2 linked regions of the Pelodiscus sinensis genome follow. The protein of the gene in region 2 purifies or fractionates together with the protein of the main gene of each other region. This does not show direct contact. Links are inferred from orthologs where the notes say so. Each region holds a gene or a part of one and is shown on either strand. Other genes may lie near its edges.

The links.
Region 1: the proteins of FAU (region 2) and RC3H1 purify together in Homo sapiens (affinity purification with mass spectrometry; 3 studies listed by BioGRID, with this or other methods). This does not show direct contact. The link is inferred for Pelodiscus sinensis from reciprocal best matches to the Homo sapiens genes FAU and RC3H1.

The regions. Positions count from the first base shown.
Region 1 is NC_134719.1:62,188,881-62,196,923, forward strand, and holds the start of RC3H1 (roquin-1), read left to right. Parts: upstream 1-4,879; 5' UTR 4,880-5,031; intron 5,032-8,043. UniProt on the Homo sapiens protein: Post-transcriptional repressor of mRNAs containing a conserved stem loop motif, called constitutive decay element (CDE), which is often located in the 3'-UTR, as in HMGXB3, ICOS, IER3, NFKBID, NFKBIZ, PPP1R10, TNF, TNFRSF4 and in many more mRNAs.
Region 2 is NC_134721.1:34,638,097-34,645,810, forward strand, and holds the start of FAU (ubiquitin-like FUBI-ribosomal protein eS30 fusion protein), read left to right. Parts: upstream 1-4,498; 5' UTR 4,499-4,620; intron 4,621-5,746; 5' UTR 5,747-5,759; coding exon 5,760-5,834; intron 5,835-6,879; coding exon 6,880-7,024; intron 7,025-7,675; coding exon 7,676-7,714. Other genes in the region: MRPL49 (large ribosomal subunit protein mL49), read right to left, coding at 539-685, 1,683-1,807, 3,986-4,151, 4,334-4,429.

The DNA.
Region 1 (8,043 bases), on a different chromosome or scaffold from region 2:
GCCCCCAATTCCCACACACCCCTCAGATAGTGCAGTCATGCAGAAAGTGCACCAAGAGATTCTCATCCCTGAGCAGACACTCTGCAACAAGTTTACATCACCTCGCTCTACTGTGGGACCAGGACCCTACGAACACAGTGAAGTTACCATGAATATAACCACTTCTGCCCAAAGTGAGAGTCTTTTCATACAAGCAAAGGACCTATCCTAGACTCAGGAGCAATGTGCATTTTATACTGCACTGGTTTATTATTTTAACAGGAGGATCTCACATTACCTAGTAAATAATCGACACCACTTAACTTTTTCTGAGTGGCCTCCCACCCAACTACTAAATGTAAACCTGCTTAGCTTACAAGGGCTGAAAATGTCAGGTTCTATGATTACAAAAGGAAGGCACTTCTGAATTCAGGAGTTTTGGAAGTGCACAGAACTGGTTCCTGCATAATTACAGAACTTCAGTAAAACCGAACAATTTTCAGTCTGTGTGATTGGAGGATATCGGGATCCATATTATGAGACTGTCCCACATAATGAGGAAAAGTTGAGGTGCCTTTGCTTTCCTCTTGTTCTGCTCTTTGTTTCTGCAATATTACTGTCTTCTTTAAAAAAGAAAATAATAATAATAATAATAAAAAACTGGTAATGGCAGTTGAAAATAGCAACTCTAGAGTCCCACTTGGCACTGGGAAAATACCAGCATTTGTTGTTCAATTGTATCCTACTTTTTCCAAAACAAATGACAGTGGAACAGTATTTTATTTTGGAGAAATGATATAACAGCATTATGAATTAAACTTGAGCACACCTGTTCAAAGCTGGAGGACAGGTGCTAAATTCCCTTTCTGAATATTAGTGCACATCCTGACCTTCTCATTAGTCTTAGGGGGAAAATCTTTGATTCTAAGCCAACTCAATTTTTATAAATAAATGTATCCCATAGAATCTTGCCTACAATGCCATAAAATATGATCAACAGTTTCTTTGGTTTTGTACACATTACTCAGCCCATCCTTATGTCTTTTTCATAAGTTTAACTTTTCATTGAAGGTGCAATGAAAATGACTATTTCATTTTTCCTATCATGCCTATGGAGTATATTATCTATGATTTTTGAGCATGCATCATTAAACCTTCATCCTTTTGTTTCCTTTGTCTATAGTTCTTGATATTCTTTTGCAAGTTCCTTCATGAATCACACTTTTTAATCCTTGTTTATTAAAGCCATATCCCTTTCTGCTTTGACTTTCCTCCAGTCAGGGCCTGAAACAACCCCCCCTTTATGCCTGGCCCTGCCCTGCCTTTTCCCACCCCTTCTCTGTTCTCATCCACCCTGTCCTTTAAGCTCCACCCCCATCTTACCACCCTTGCTCCACCTCCTCCTTATCCCTATTGCACCCCTTCCCTCAAAGCCCCTGCCCTGAGCAACACAGCCAGGGTATTATTGAGGGCCTAGTGCTGGCAGTAGGGGTTTGAGCATGCCCCTGCACTCACCGCTGCTGTGATGAAATGGAGCAATCTGTCTAGGAGATGGTGAAGTAGAGATGAATGAAAGAAATAATCACTTCCTTTGACCTGCTGGCATTGCTCTCTACTAGTGGGTACCAATAGGCTATAAGCCTTCTTGGCAACAAGGGCACACTGTTAACTCATATCCAGCTTCTTGTCCACTGTCATTCCCAGGTCCTTGCCTGCAGAACTGCTTAGCCAGCTGACTGTATTGAAAGACAATTACAAATCAACAGTCACGCCACAATTCAGGACATTATTGCTGTCATGCTCTCCTTTATGTATGCCAGTGATTTTAGAAATTATTTCTCCTTTCATAAATGATGTCATGGTTCTGTAGTATTAACATACTTTCATATTGATATTGACTTCTTTCATTGTGATGTTATTGTGTGCAGAACTCTTCACTCTTCTGCTTCACTCTTCTGCTTTTGTGAGCTTTGTTTTATGAGAAGTGCAGGAACGTAGGCCCTGATTATGAAAACATACAAACACGCTTAAAGTTAAACAAATGCATAACTGTGAGTAGGATTGGGATCATATTTTGTTCTCTTTGATAACTTGATATGGTTTGATTAGAGAGGTTCAACCTGTATAACACTTCAGAACCATTCAGCTCAGAGAAACTAAATATTGCATGAGGGATGCAGGATCCAGTACACCTGGACTGATTACTTGCTACCCAATTGGTCTTAAGGAAAGGCACTTAAGTATCAGCATATGCATGTAACAAATAAAAAAGCATCTACAGTGCCTTGAGTCAGCAGGGGGAAAACACTATTTGGGGGGCAGCCCTGTAGAGAAGACCAAATGCTCGCTCTAGTCTCCTCTCTGCATTTCTCCCTACTAACTCAGGACCCTGCAGGAGCATTTTTACTTCTTGCAGTGCCTTGCAGGCAATTACCAATATGCACCCATAGCTATCTATACTTTATAGGTCTGGGTGCCTTCCCGGAAGTCAGACAGCAGCTGACCAGTCAGATCATATTTGACACTGACAAGAAAAAGCTGCATTGTGAGTTGGTTTGGCATTTTGTTTACAACTGATTGATTGATGTACATTTTCACAGTTGCAAAAAAGTATGGCTTTTAAAAAAAACTTGCATCATTTTAAATTCATAATTGTGAGAAATTATAAGGGGATCGTATAATGTAATGACCGTAGACAGTGAGGTTAAAGCTTAATAACCATTAAAAACAATTTTTCAACAATGCATGTCAAAATATACAATGTAATTATCCTTGAAAGAAATGCTAAGCTCTCAAGCAACATTTTCTTACCTTACCTAGTATCTGTAAATTCTGAATGTTATTGATGGAAATATTTCTGTCAGAGTCTCTGAAAGTGTTATTTACTAATTAAAGAAAACTAATCTTTCCTAGCCTAATTATTAGCATTCCTTGAACTGTGTCTTTTGTCTTATATTTAGACTGTAAGCTCTTTAGAGGGAAAAATGGCTTTTTGTTCTATTTATGCAGAGATATTTTGGCCTTGGAAAGGGTTCAGAAAAGGGCAACTAAAATGATTAGGGGTTTGGAACGGGTCCCATATGAGGAGAGGTTAAAGCGACTGGGACTTTTCAGTTTAGAAAAGAAGAGACTGAGGGGAGATATGATAGAGGTATATAAAATCATGAGTGGTGGGGAGAGGGCCGATAAAGAAAAGTTATTTATTAGCTCCCTAAATAGAAGAACTAGAGGACACCAAATGAAATTAATGGGGAGCAGGTTTAAAACTAATAAAAGAAAGTTCTTCTTCACACAGCGTGTAGTCAACCTGTGGAACTCCTTGCCAGAGGAGGCTGTGAAGGCTAGGACTATAATAGAGTTTAAAGAGAAGCTAGATAATTTCATGGAGGTTAGGTCCATAAAAGTCTATTAGGCAGGGGATAAAATGGTGTCCTTGGCCTCTGTTTGTCAGAGGCTGGAGAGGGATGGCAGGAGACAAATCGCTTGATCATTGTCTTCGGTCCACCCTCTCTGGGGCACCTGGTGCTGGCCACTGTTGGCAGGCAGGATGCTGGGCTAGACGGACCTTTGGTCTGACCCAGTACGGCCGTTCTTATGTTCTTATGAGTCTGCCACTATAGAGTTCTGGTCCTGGAGTGGTATAATATAAATAATAGTTCTAAAGCACCAGTGTAAGAAAGCAGTTTGTAGAAGGGGAGGGATAAAGATCTGTTTTAAACCCCTTTTAAAAATACATTGTGAGTCAATTAACCTTCCAAAAGGATAGAGTGAAACGATATAGTAGTACAAGGTACTGATCCTTCCACTCGCTTTGCAGACCCCAGAGAAGGCAGCGGGACTCATATGGGCACTGGGGTCTGATCACACAGAGCCAGTTGCAGGACTGAATCCCAGTTTTGTTTAGTTTACTGTGGTGTCCAACACACTAGCGGCTATTTGGCTTGTATAATGTGGCTATTTGGCATATTGAGTGTGGCTAGTTTGCTACAGCAGTAGTCACTATAGTGGTTACTGCTTCAGAACTGGTTGGACACCAGGGGTCCAGTATTTATAGCGCAAGACTGGGCAGCCAGGACTATTGGTTTCTATGGCTAGTATGACCTTGAACAAGTGACAACCTCTGCATCTCAGTTTATGCATCTGTAAAACAGAGGTGTTAACAATAATATTTAGCTTTCACTAAGCATTCTAAATCTCCTGAACTCTGGACACACTAACTAATTAATGCAGTGAGGCTTCCTTAATGCTTGGAAAGTCGTTTAAAATCCCCAAATAGTCACAGGCTTGCTGTGCCAGGTATCATTTGACAAATCCTTGGGTGGGGACAGGAGGACCCAGAAATCTCTTACCTTTGTTCTAAACGATGGTAACAGCTGTATGAAAAGTGTCACAACTTAAGGAAACCAAGGACTTGCCTCTCCGAAGCTGGGACACTTGGCATGCACCGGCCTTGCAACACCAACAGCTGATGCCTCCAATTATGGAAGGCTCCCTTCGAGGGAAAGGGGGGAGCCATTCATCTTTCTCCACCCCTCGCCCAGAAACGTGGGTGACGTTTGGGAGGGAGGAAGCTTTGTGGGGGAGCACCCATTCGTCTCCCTCCCCCTTCGGAAAGACGGGGGTGGGAGTGTGGCAAGAGGAGGAGCCAGGCGGTTTCACCTGCTTGTCCCCTTCTCAGAAAGGGCCTGGCTGTTGTTGCGGGGGGGACGCGGCGGCAGTGAGCTTGCTCCAGAAGGGCGGCTGAGGGGGGAGCCCAGTAGCGGGGTCGCTCCCCCCGCCAGGGACTCCGCTCGCCCCTGCCCCGGCGCGGCAGGAAGAGGAGGCAGGAGAAAGGGGAAGAGGCTCGAGGCCGGGCCGGGGAGGGAGGAGCGGTCCCGGGGGGGAGGCGGCAGACGCACAAGATGGCCCCTGCTGCAGAGGCGGCAGCAGCAGCGGGTCGTGGGGAGGAGGCGGCGGCGGCCGGGCGGCCCCTGCTGCTGCCGGCGCTGGAGGCTGCGGCCAGCCCCGCGTCCCGGAGCTGAAAGTCGCTGCTGCGGGGAGCTCAGCCGTGCGGTGAGTCCGGGCCCCGCGCTCGGCGGCGGGGAACAATGGGGCGGAGGGGGCCTGGCCCGGCGGGGCCGCGGGCTGGCTCGGGGCGCTCCGGCCTGTGTCCCTGCCTCGCTAGGCCTCAGGCTCCGTTTCCGAAGTGCCCCGTCTCCGAGGCGCGGTGGAGCGGGGCGCCGGAAGGGGGAGGCTTCCGTGGCCTCGGGAAGGGGGTGGGAGTCCCAGGGGCTCGGGCCCCTTTGGGGTGGGGGCAGCGGGTGCCTCTTCGGGGGGGAGAGTGAGGCCTGAGGGAGACTCTATCCCCCGCTCCTGCTGATGAGGCGGGGCAAGCCTCGCCGAGCAGATGGGAAGTTGGGGTCCCTGCCCTCGAGGGGGTTCCGCCTCCACACGCTGTGGATTTGCAGAGCAGATGTGGCACACGTCGGAGGCTTTGTTTCAGACCTGTATAGACACACACAGGCCCCCTCTCTCTCTGCCTCCCCCCGGCCCTGGCTCACCCCGTTTGGGCGCCTCTCAAAGTTGTAGGGGACATTCAGGGTGAGCTGCCCCGCGTTTTCTGTGCGGGCCTGGACATTGACAGGCATCGGGGAAGTGGAAGCCTAAAAAGAGCGACCGAACTTGAAAGTGTTTTTGTCTTTGTTTCTCACTGAGTTAAAAGATGGGGCAAGGATTTCCTGCCAGGAAACAGAGCTCTGAGTAGCTACCCTTCTGTATTGGTTGGGGGGAATACCCAGAAATGATGTTTTGTCTTCAGGGGCCATATTGAGTGAGATCTGTGCCATTTTGAGAGCCCACAGATAGGAAAACTGATATTTCTTGTGTAAAATGGTATTTCATTAAATCATTCTCCTGCCCCCCCCCCCCCCCCCCACACACACACACATACACTTCTTTCTCCTGAGCTGTTGTTTTAAAACTTGTGTTGTTTCTCATTATGGAAAAATTGTATTGGTGACATTTTATCAACTAGAAAGGAGCTTTCAGTATTCTGATAAACTGAAAATTGGCCAAACTATTAAACTCATTTTTGCAATTTATGTTAAAAAAGTTGGTTCACTCCTGTCCATGACAGTGCTACTTTTTCACCACTAAGTCTTCTAGTGACTCCTCTTTGATCACTGTATTGTAAAATGACAGTTGGATTATTTCTACATTTATACTATAGTGATGCCTAGTATCTGTGGTATGTAGAAGTATTACCTTTTTCCACTAAACTTTTTTTCTCCTCTTCAGACATCGATTTATTTTATTTTAGGCCCTCCTGCCCATTCTTATGTACTACTTAATATTTTCACTGGTATCTACTTAATTGTTTCACTGACCTCATTGAGACACACACACACACACACATGAATACACTTTTTGCACATGCTTGAGTGCTGGCAGGACTGCGGTCCACTTCTTTGTCACATAGAGAAATTGGCATAAAAATTGTCAATCCATAAACGTGGTAGTTTACATCAATAATTGAGGTGAACATATAGTTTCTATTAAAGTTAATAAGAGCTGGGTGCACCAAAGGGAATTTCCTGAAATTTTCAGCCTATTATTCCTGCCCTGCAAAGGGCTCCTGCAGAGCAGATGCTTTAAGCTGGCTATTTTGAGGGACACTTGCACTTGTTTGATAGTTTCTGATTTCCATGGCTGTCCATAAAACACCTTTGAGCAGCATTAACAATCATGGAGACAAGGAGGAAATCGCTTGGTTTTTCTACCAAAAAACACTTAATTTAAAACAAGATACTATATTTTTGGTTTGACATTGGTCTGAACTGATGTCTGTTCCATGAAACAAAGGGGAGATCTGCATGTAAAATATTGCATTGGCGTTAGGGATGTTAAATTTGATTAATTAGCTAATTGAGTAGTCGATGGAATTTCCACTGACTACTTGATTTGTCAATAAGGGGGATGCTCTCTTATCTTTTTGTGCCTCTCCCTTTGAAATGTACAAGAACCACAGCGGCTTATGTACATTTAAAAGGGAAAGGTCCCCGGCTGGTGAGGGTTCCCTTCCGTGCCTCTTCCTTTGAAGTGTACAAGAGCTGGATGCAGCTCTTGTATATTTCAAAGGGAGAGAATCAGCAGTCAGACTGTACATGGGACTATTTCAATTCCTGCTCAGGCTGTTTCCCGGATGCCCTCTGCCTCCCCTGCCCCCTGTGGAGATGGTGCGTGGGGAACCATTTTTAAGCTGGCTCCCCCCGGAACGGGCACGTGCTTTCCTTCCCCTCCCTGCTGCCTCTCACTGATAGAGGCAGCAAGAGTGGGGGGAGCAACTAATCGAGTTCCTACTCGATAAGCATTTGCTTATCGGGTGGTTGACTAGTCACTTACATCTCTAATTGGCGCAGCTGCACCAGTGTAGCATCATCTCATCAGTATGAGAAGAGCTCTCATGGACACAGCTCTGTCTACGTGGGAGTTAGGTCTCTCTAATTCTGTCACTCAGAGCTATGGATGTTTTGCACTCCTGAGCAATGTAGTTAGTGATTTAGATCTGTAGTGTAGACCTGACCATAATGATGGCTTCAGCCTGCTTCCCAAAGCGTAAGTGTCTGCATGACACTGACCAGCACCACTCTTGCTAACTGAAAGGCTTAACAGAGTTAAACGCTGAAGACATAAATTATTTAAAGATGGCAGTTTTGAACAAATGTTGCTGAGACCATTTGGAGAAGCTTGAACTCATGTTGCCTGTGACCTACCAGCTATCTAGATAAAGACTGTCACAAATGCTGGCAGTCTGGAACTCTATAGTAGTTCTGAATTCAGGAAATAGATACGTCCAAAATTTTGAATGAATTGCTTTCTTATTTATCTGAATATTTGGAAGGAATCTGAAAATGGTGGCAAGGATTGAAAATGTCACTAGTTTGGGACTTGGTATAGACATAGACTTGCCAGAATATTAGTTTCTGTAATTGTGTTTGATTTTGTTTTTAAGCACTTTCTATTTTGAATCTTTTCATTTTAACCATTGCAGAACATTAAGGGAGTTCGTGTTAGGTTTGCACTGAC
Region 2 (7,714 bases):
ACTGAATTGATCTCTTTTAGTGGGGAAAGTCTAAGAATCATTTCCTGTCTGTGGTGAATTCAAACTAGCCTCACTGCAGACCAACAGGGATCCAAAAGCTGAAGTCACTTGGCAACAGCAACCCATGAATGATTCCTTACTTGGTGCTCATAGAGCAGAAGTTTTTTTTAAATTAACTTTATTGCAACAATCACCCAGGGAAGGGTCATTTTGTAAACTTTTCCTGTACATTTCATGTGGTGTAAATAAACATACAATTAATCAGACCGTATTCTTCTGTGGAGCAAAAGATGGAGTTTTGTTCATGTGGGTGTCGTAGTACAGTTCTCTCTCGGCAAACAATATTGTGCTAATATGATAACATGAGTTTTCCTGTTTTTGATGGGGTATAATATAGAGGTTACTGGAAACTTGTGCCCCTGTGGTTCCTTGCAGCTGGTTCATCTGGATCTAGATTAGTTATAAGCAAGAACACATCATCCTTAGCAGGGGACAGATAGTATTAATCAGCACAAAGAAAACAGAACTGTTTGTTTATTTAAAACCCCTTGTTCAACAGCCACTCTTTCAGTTCATTGTCAAAATAGCCTTTAATACGGATGCTAGCAGTGACTTCATTGACTTGAATAGGTGGTGGTTTCCCAGCAAGCTGAGTGAGGAACTCCTTAACTTCCTTCTCCAGGGCCTGAAGTTAAAGAAACAGAACAAAAATCATGTCTCTATTTAACTAAATCAAATTGACAACCCAAAATTTGGTTTAGTCATCAAATACTAGGCCAGGCTCTCAGCTGTTAGGATCATGTTTGACTTGGTTTAAAGCTGGGCATGCATCAGGCATAACACCAAATAGTCCAGACATGTTAATTGTGTTGTAGGAGCTGTACGAACAGCAGTCACTAGTTTTGCTAGTCTGGTATTCTGCTTCCTGTTGTGGTAGATAATTCTTTTACAAATATAACTCAATTTTCTGCACCCATGCATGGGAGGAGGAAACTCCTCAGGAAAAAGAACTTTACTTTTTGTTCTGGACTTGAATAGCATCCCTATTAGCTTTTTTCTAAACTAATGGCTGTTATGGGGAATATGTAATTGTCTCTCCAGCTGCTCAGCTCTGAAGGCAGCACTGCCATCACCAGCAGCGCAGCAGTAAGAGTAGCATTACTGCATTCCCCCTCCCCCTTTTTGGGTCAAGACTCAAATTACCATGAAATTTCAGATTTAAATAGTTGAAATTATGAAATGTACTCTTAAAATCCTATGATTGTGAAATTGTCCAAAATGGACCAAATTTGGTAGATCCCTCACTATAATTCTTTGATTTGCTGTAAGACTTTTGCAGAATACAGCCACTCCCCGAGTTACAACCACCTCTACTTATGACCATCCGCACTTACGACCAAAGCAGTCGTAAATGTGGATCCGTGTTACAAACGGCGATCCGTGCTTATGAACAGCGTGGTTGCCATGTAACTCTATAGGATCCGAGTTACGAACACTTCGAGTTACGGACCAAGTGTTGGTCCATAACTCAGGGAGCGGTTGTACATTCAATACATTTTCTCCTATTAAATTTGCATTCCATTTTGAGGGGTAAGGAGAATCATTGAATGTACACTTTTAGAAGCTGTGTAATTGTGGATCTGCTGTTCGTCCCTAGTGGAATGAGTTGGAATAGCACATACCCAGATATCACCTTCAATTTTCCTGATGACAGTCATCCGCCTGTTGCCACTAGTAATGTCCTTATAGACTGGAACGTTGTGCATCCGGGAACGTCTTACAAAGTAAGGAAGGGCAGGTGGAGTATCTAATCAAAAAAATTGATTTCAACTCTAGGCTAGAACAATGTCTGGTCTGTATGCTCCACTAGTGAGCTGCAATCAGAATAGTGACTCTGATGAAGCTCAAGTCATTTCAGTTTGCAACTCTACTCTCCCTACCACAACCTTTCACTAACATCTAAAAATTCAACTGGGTTGTTCCTGGCTAAGGCAGTCACTGGTAAATATGCAATCGGAATTTAGCAGCCTTATGCATAAAGGCAGAACAGACACCTGTTCATGCCAGTAACTTTACTAGGGAAAAACCCCCAAAAAACAAATTGTCACTTTTCTGATACCAACTACTAACAAGGTTTGTATTTCTCAAGTTTTAGAAACATAGGATAAAGTATTCCAACAGCCAGCCTATGTTGATGGAAGGACTACTACAAGCATTAGTCTCTTTCTGTACCATACTCAAAATCACAAATCTTTCAGGTTACAGGAAACGAGGCCAGCATTAGGGGCCGTCAGGAGAGACTGCTATTGTTTGACTGCCTTCTGGTCCTAGAAAAATGTACCTTTCTATACCTAAAAAATGTAGGTTTCAGAGACAAAAGGGCACCTGTTATTGCATAAAAACTTCCTCATACCAAAATATCTCTGTAGCAGGGATGGGCAATTACAAATAATGGGTGGGCCACATGATTGGCCCTCCTTCACCTCAGTGGGCTGCAGTAACCCATTGCCCTCTGGATATTCACCCCTCGTGCTCTCCCACATGCCTTCCAAACTGAGGCTCCAGAGTCACACACTGCTCCCTCCCTTCCCAGCAGTTTCAGAATGTGTGAATTGCCTGATTTGCACTCAGTGCCCACCTTGCTCCATCACAGCTCTAGGAGGGACAGAGCATGAACCAGGCAATTCATGCATTCCAAAAGTGCTGGAAGGGAGGAGCAGGTTAAGTGAGGGGCTCTGGTGCCTCAGTGTGGGTGGGTGGGGGAGGGGAAAGGTGGGCCTGCAAAGCACAGGATGCCCACTACTGGTTTATATATATCATGACTAAAACCCACCACTTTAAAAATCACATGAAAAAAAAACAATCTAATGGAAAATAACAGTGGTTGACACGCGTTCCCCTTCACTTAAGAGCAGTGGCTGTTCTGAGATACTTACATTCAGACTAAAGATGGGTTCCTTGCAACAAAGGAGTGGGTAAGAGAACCTCTGAAGGCTGGATCAGCTGGTGGATACAGATTACCACTGCCCTGCTGCTTCCCCCATCCCCAGGACAATCAAGACCTGGGGATGGGAGTGTGTGAAGTCTCCTTTCCCCACCCCCCAAGGGTGCACAGCACCAGAGGGAATCACCTGCTGTTCTCTCTAGCCTCTGCTCCCAGGCCCTGATAAAGTCTCCTCCCACCCAAGGGGCATGGCATCACAGTGAACAGAAGCAGTTCTCTCTAGCCAGCACATGCCCCAGGCAGGGCGGGGGCAGAGGCTGAGGGAATTCACATGCTCCCAGGCTCTGATTGGCCTGGAGAGTGCTCGAAGTCTTCAGTTGCAGTGCCTAGAGGGAACTGCCAGCTGTTTTAAAACTGCTGGCACTTCTCTCTAGCTGCTTGGGGTAAGTGGGGGGAGAGACTTCATGTGTTTCCCCCACCCCCAGGCTAATCAGGATCTGTGGGCAGAGAACTCTTCCTGCCCTGTCCCACCCCTTCCAGGGGAGCCCAGGTCCCCTTTAGAAATCTATGAAGTGGCTCCCTTTTAAAAATTATTGCCCACCCTTGTCACAACATTACAATCTCTGGCTCTCGGTCAATGCTGTGTAGTATTCCAGCTCTGGCATGCTAAATCAGCACAAAATAGTTGCTACCAGTAGGCTGAGTGGAATTTGTTTTGATAGATAATGTTTTAATTTAAATTTCCAGTTGTGCAAAATCGTGGACTAAGTATTTTATTGATTTAAATTTCCCACAATTGTGAAAACTTAAAACATGTTGAAATTCAAAGTTAAACTGTTAACATACAAACTTATCACATTTAAAATATACAAACTAAATAGTACACCAAATTAAGTTATTAAGCAGTGTTTTTAGGTTGACTAGCTGTGTCAGTTATCAATGAAAATATTTCAGGTTTGTGTGCATGTCGTGAAATGGACTGTTAGTGATGAACTCCTCCCAAGCCTAGCTCCAGGACAGATGCCCTATCTATACGGTTACCTGATGGAGGTCTCCAGCCAGACGGGGTGGGGTACTGGTCGTGTTTGGGGGGAGCAGGAATTCTGGTGGGTGGAATGAGTCTCTCCACAAATTTATATTCTTCAGTGGATTCGACAATCCCGGGGTAGTGAGGATCGCGGGTCTCAGGTTCGTCCCGGGACTGGCTCTGAAACGCACGGGGTGGGGGAGGGAATAACGGTCAGGCCATCCTGCCTGCAGAAGCCACGCGCAGCCCGGCCCATGGCGGGCGCCTTCTCACGGCTCTAGCCGCGCAGCGCTGTGGGGGGCGGGTCCAAGCTGCAGGCGCCAAGGACGAATCAGCCACCCGCGCGTCCCTCTCCTCGGTACCTGCCGGGCTGTCAGCTGCAGCAGCCGCCGAGCCCCCGCGCCCCACAGGCATCTCGGCCGCCTCCTCAGCCCCGCCAGGGACATGGCCGCTGCCATCTTGCTGCCGCCTGCGGCTGGAAGGTGGGAAGGGCTGTGACGTAAAAATCTGGCGCCTCCGCGGGCGACAGCCGTCGCGTGTGACGTGACGCAGTACGCAGTGCGCGCGCCCCCGCCGTACGTATATGAACGTGCGCGCGACTCGGCTAAATTCTTTTCGGCTCCATCTTGTGAAGCGGCGGCGTCTCGTGGTGAGCGAGGTGCCGGTGTTCCTCCCGCCTGAACCGGGTCTGGAGTGGGGGATGTAGAGGGGCGGGGCACGAAGCGCTTCACCCGTCCCCTGCGAGCTCAGCCGGCGAGCGGCCTGGGCGCGGGGCTGGCAGCTGTAGGGCGGGGTTAGTGAGGGGGGAGCGGAGATGCAGCCTAAGTCCCTACGGCCGGCGCCTGGCTGGGCTGACAGGCCCGCTGGGGCCGACTCCCGTCAGGGACCGTGACCCGCCAGGAGATCCCGGGCTGGTCAGCTCGGCTGGGCACGTTTAACCGCTTCTCCCCAGTGACCCCTCCTGGTTCTGTCCCCGGGTGGAGTCAGCGGGTTTTAGGGCAGGGGCGGGCTGGGAGGCAGAACCTCTGGGTTCTGTTTCAGTGGCTACGGGGGGCTGCGTGTTGCACAGCCCTTCCGACTAATCCCGGCCCAGGCGGTAGCAGCTCTGTCTGTTGCCAGGATGGTAGCGAAGTCCATCTGGGAAGGAGCATCTTTGTGCCTTAGCTGCTCTGCTACCTGTGAAACCTGGGCCATCGTTGGGAAGGTGCAGAGACTGACTTTGGTTAGACAGTGCTTGGTCTGGGCAGTGGAAGCAGAGTTCAGGGGTCTTTTGAAATATCTGCCTTTGCTGGGATTTGGGTATCCTGATTGCATTGTAGGTAATGATTTACTGCTGCAGGCTCAGTCATTTAACTCATGTTTCAATATGGAATTCACATCTAGAGAAGGGAGCTGGCAGTCCAGTCTTCTCAATTCCATCACTTGATCTTGTGTTGAAGCAAGTGACGGGACTTCAGGGTTTGTCACTGGCTCAGGAAGGGTGGGAGTAGAGTCTAATGGACTACAGCAGAGATGCTGATAGTCAAAATTCCTAACTTTTATTCCTAAGTATTTCACTGACTCAGTGTCTGCTTGTTTTCTGTTTGGATTTTATCTTTAGTGCTCCCAGTAGGTTATTGGGTAGCTGCTGAGAGCTGACAGGAAAGCTGCTTGTCTCTCTCAGGCTGTATAATGCAACGAAGGCACAGAATGCAAGACTTAATATCTTTAGGCTGCTGTGGAAATTGTCTGATTTTGAGTAATTTGCCCTAACCCTGGTTGTACTGTCCATTCAGCGTGACTGGAACCATGCAGCTGTTCATCCGTGCTCAGAACCTGCACACCCTTGAGGTGTCTGGACAGGAAACAATATCTCACCTTAAGGTAAGGAAGGATTCCCTAGCCACATTCTGTCTTATGCCACGCTTAACCGTTCTGTCAGGCTTTTCAATGCATCCTTTTGACAGAATGATCCTGTCCAGAGGGGATGGCAGAATTGCTGCTGACTTCTGATCACAAATACTGGCAGAGAACGTATTGGGCACCATATGTCCCTTTCCTCTGCTTCGTCTGTGTTGAAAGTAGCCCTGTGAGAATTAGGGTCATGGCTGCCCAAAGATGGACCACATCAGGCTTTGATCTTGACATTATAAGCTAAGCATGTGCTTTCTAGACCAGAACTTGGATGGAAAACCAAGATGTTCTGGAGTTGAATAATTAAAGAGCACTCTGAGTCTGTACCGATTCCAGTGCCCTAGCATGGTGTTGGAAAATGCAGTGCTGAAGGAAGTAGGGTGGGATAGAGCTCTGGTGGGATTGTTTTCCCCTCTTGAATTAGTACTGGTGTCAACCAGTACTCCCTAGTGTCTAGTCCTTCAGAAAAAATAGTAAACATTCCTGATTGCTTGATATCTGGCACTTTCAGTGATCCCAAATTATAATTGGGATAATTGCATTTGGCCTTTTAGTTTGAATGAAGGGCTGTTAGTTCATCCCATAATTTAGTGGTACTATTCCCCAGTGCCACTCTAAACAACTCTAGCCAGCTTTTCTATAGCTTGTATGCCTTAGTGCAGGGATTCCTCTCCCCTCCATGGCATTTGCCTCGTTCATGTCCTCAGACACTTTTGGAATGCATTCTCTTTCGTTGCAAAGCCAGATGTGACAGCTCTAACTCTCCTCGTAAATCAGTCCATCTCACTTCTGTTCAATAGTATTGGGATCTGAGCTCCATTCTACCACTCAACCTTTTTAGGATTGTGCTGCCCAGAGAGAAAGTCTTTGATCAGGAATGGTGTGCCCCCTTGGGTCACATCCCTCTGCCTTGTGCCATGGAGGGGAATCTGATACCCACTGACTTGTGGAAGGTGTTTGATTAGCTTTGCTCTCCCAGCCTCCCTAGCTGATTGTATCTTGTGTCTCTTATCAGGCTCACATTGAGTCCCTGGAAGGCATTGCACCAGAAGATCAGGTGGTTCTCTTGGGTGGAACTCCTTTGGAGGATGAAGCTATCATTGGGCAATGTGGCATCAGCGAACTTGCCACACTGGAGGTGGCTGCTCGCATGTTGGGTGGTAAGTATTAAAAGGCCCTGGTGTACTGAAGTAAAATTCCATGAGGCCCCTGGACAAGTGGAGGAGGCATGCAAAGAATTCCCATCCCATTCTCCTAATTAGCTGTATTTCAGGAGTGGATAGTCAAGCTGTTAACTGCCAGCTACAGCAGGGTCACGCTAGAGTGAGACCACTGTGGCTCTGAATGGTGCCTGGGAAAAGCCAGAGGACATGGAGGATGTCTGTGTAAAACAAGCTTGTTGGGTCTCAGCCCAGTGCACGAGGATCCAATAGCAGAGAGCACTCTGAGGCCCCAGAGTGAATGGAACACTTCAAAGAACAAACTTCTCTCCAGCCTAGGACTGAGCCCATTTGGCTTAGCTTGACCACGGGAACCTTGCCAGCCCTTTGGATGGCCATGTAGACTTCCCTCAAAAATCAAAACAAAACACAACCCACAGCGCACACGGGGGGGAGGAACAACAACCCCACAGCACAGTCTCAGCCTGAGACTGAAAGTACACTGCAGTTCTGTAGCCACGACTAGTGACTAAAACACAGGCCCTGGAATGACAAAGTTGGGATTAATCTGGTCAACTGTCCCATATACACTCTACATAATGCCCAATATCCTGTGTTGCTGAGTGCAGCTCTCTTGACTTCTCTTGCCAGGTAAGGTCCATGGCTCCCTGGCTCGTGCTGGGAAGGTGA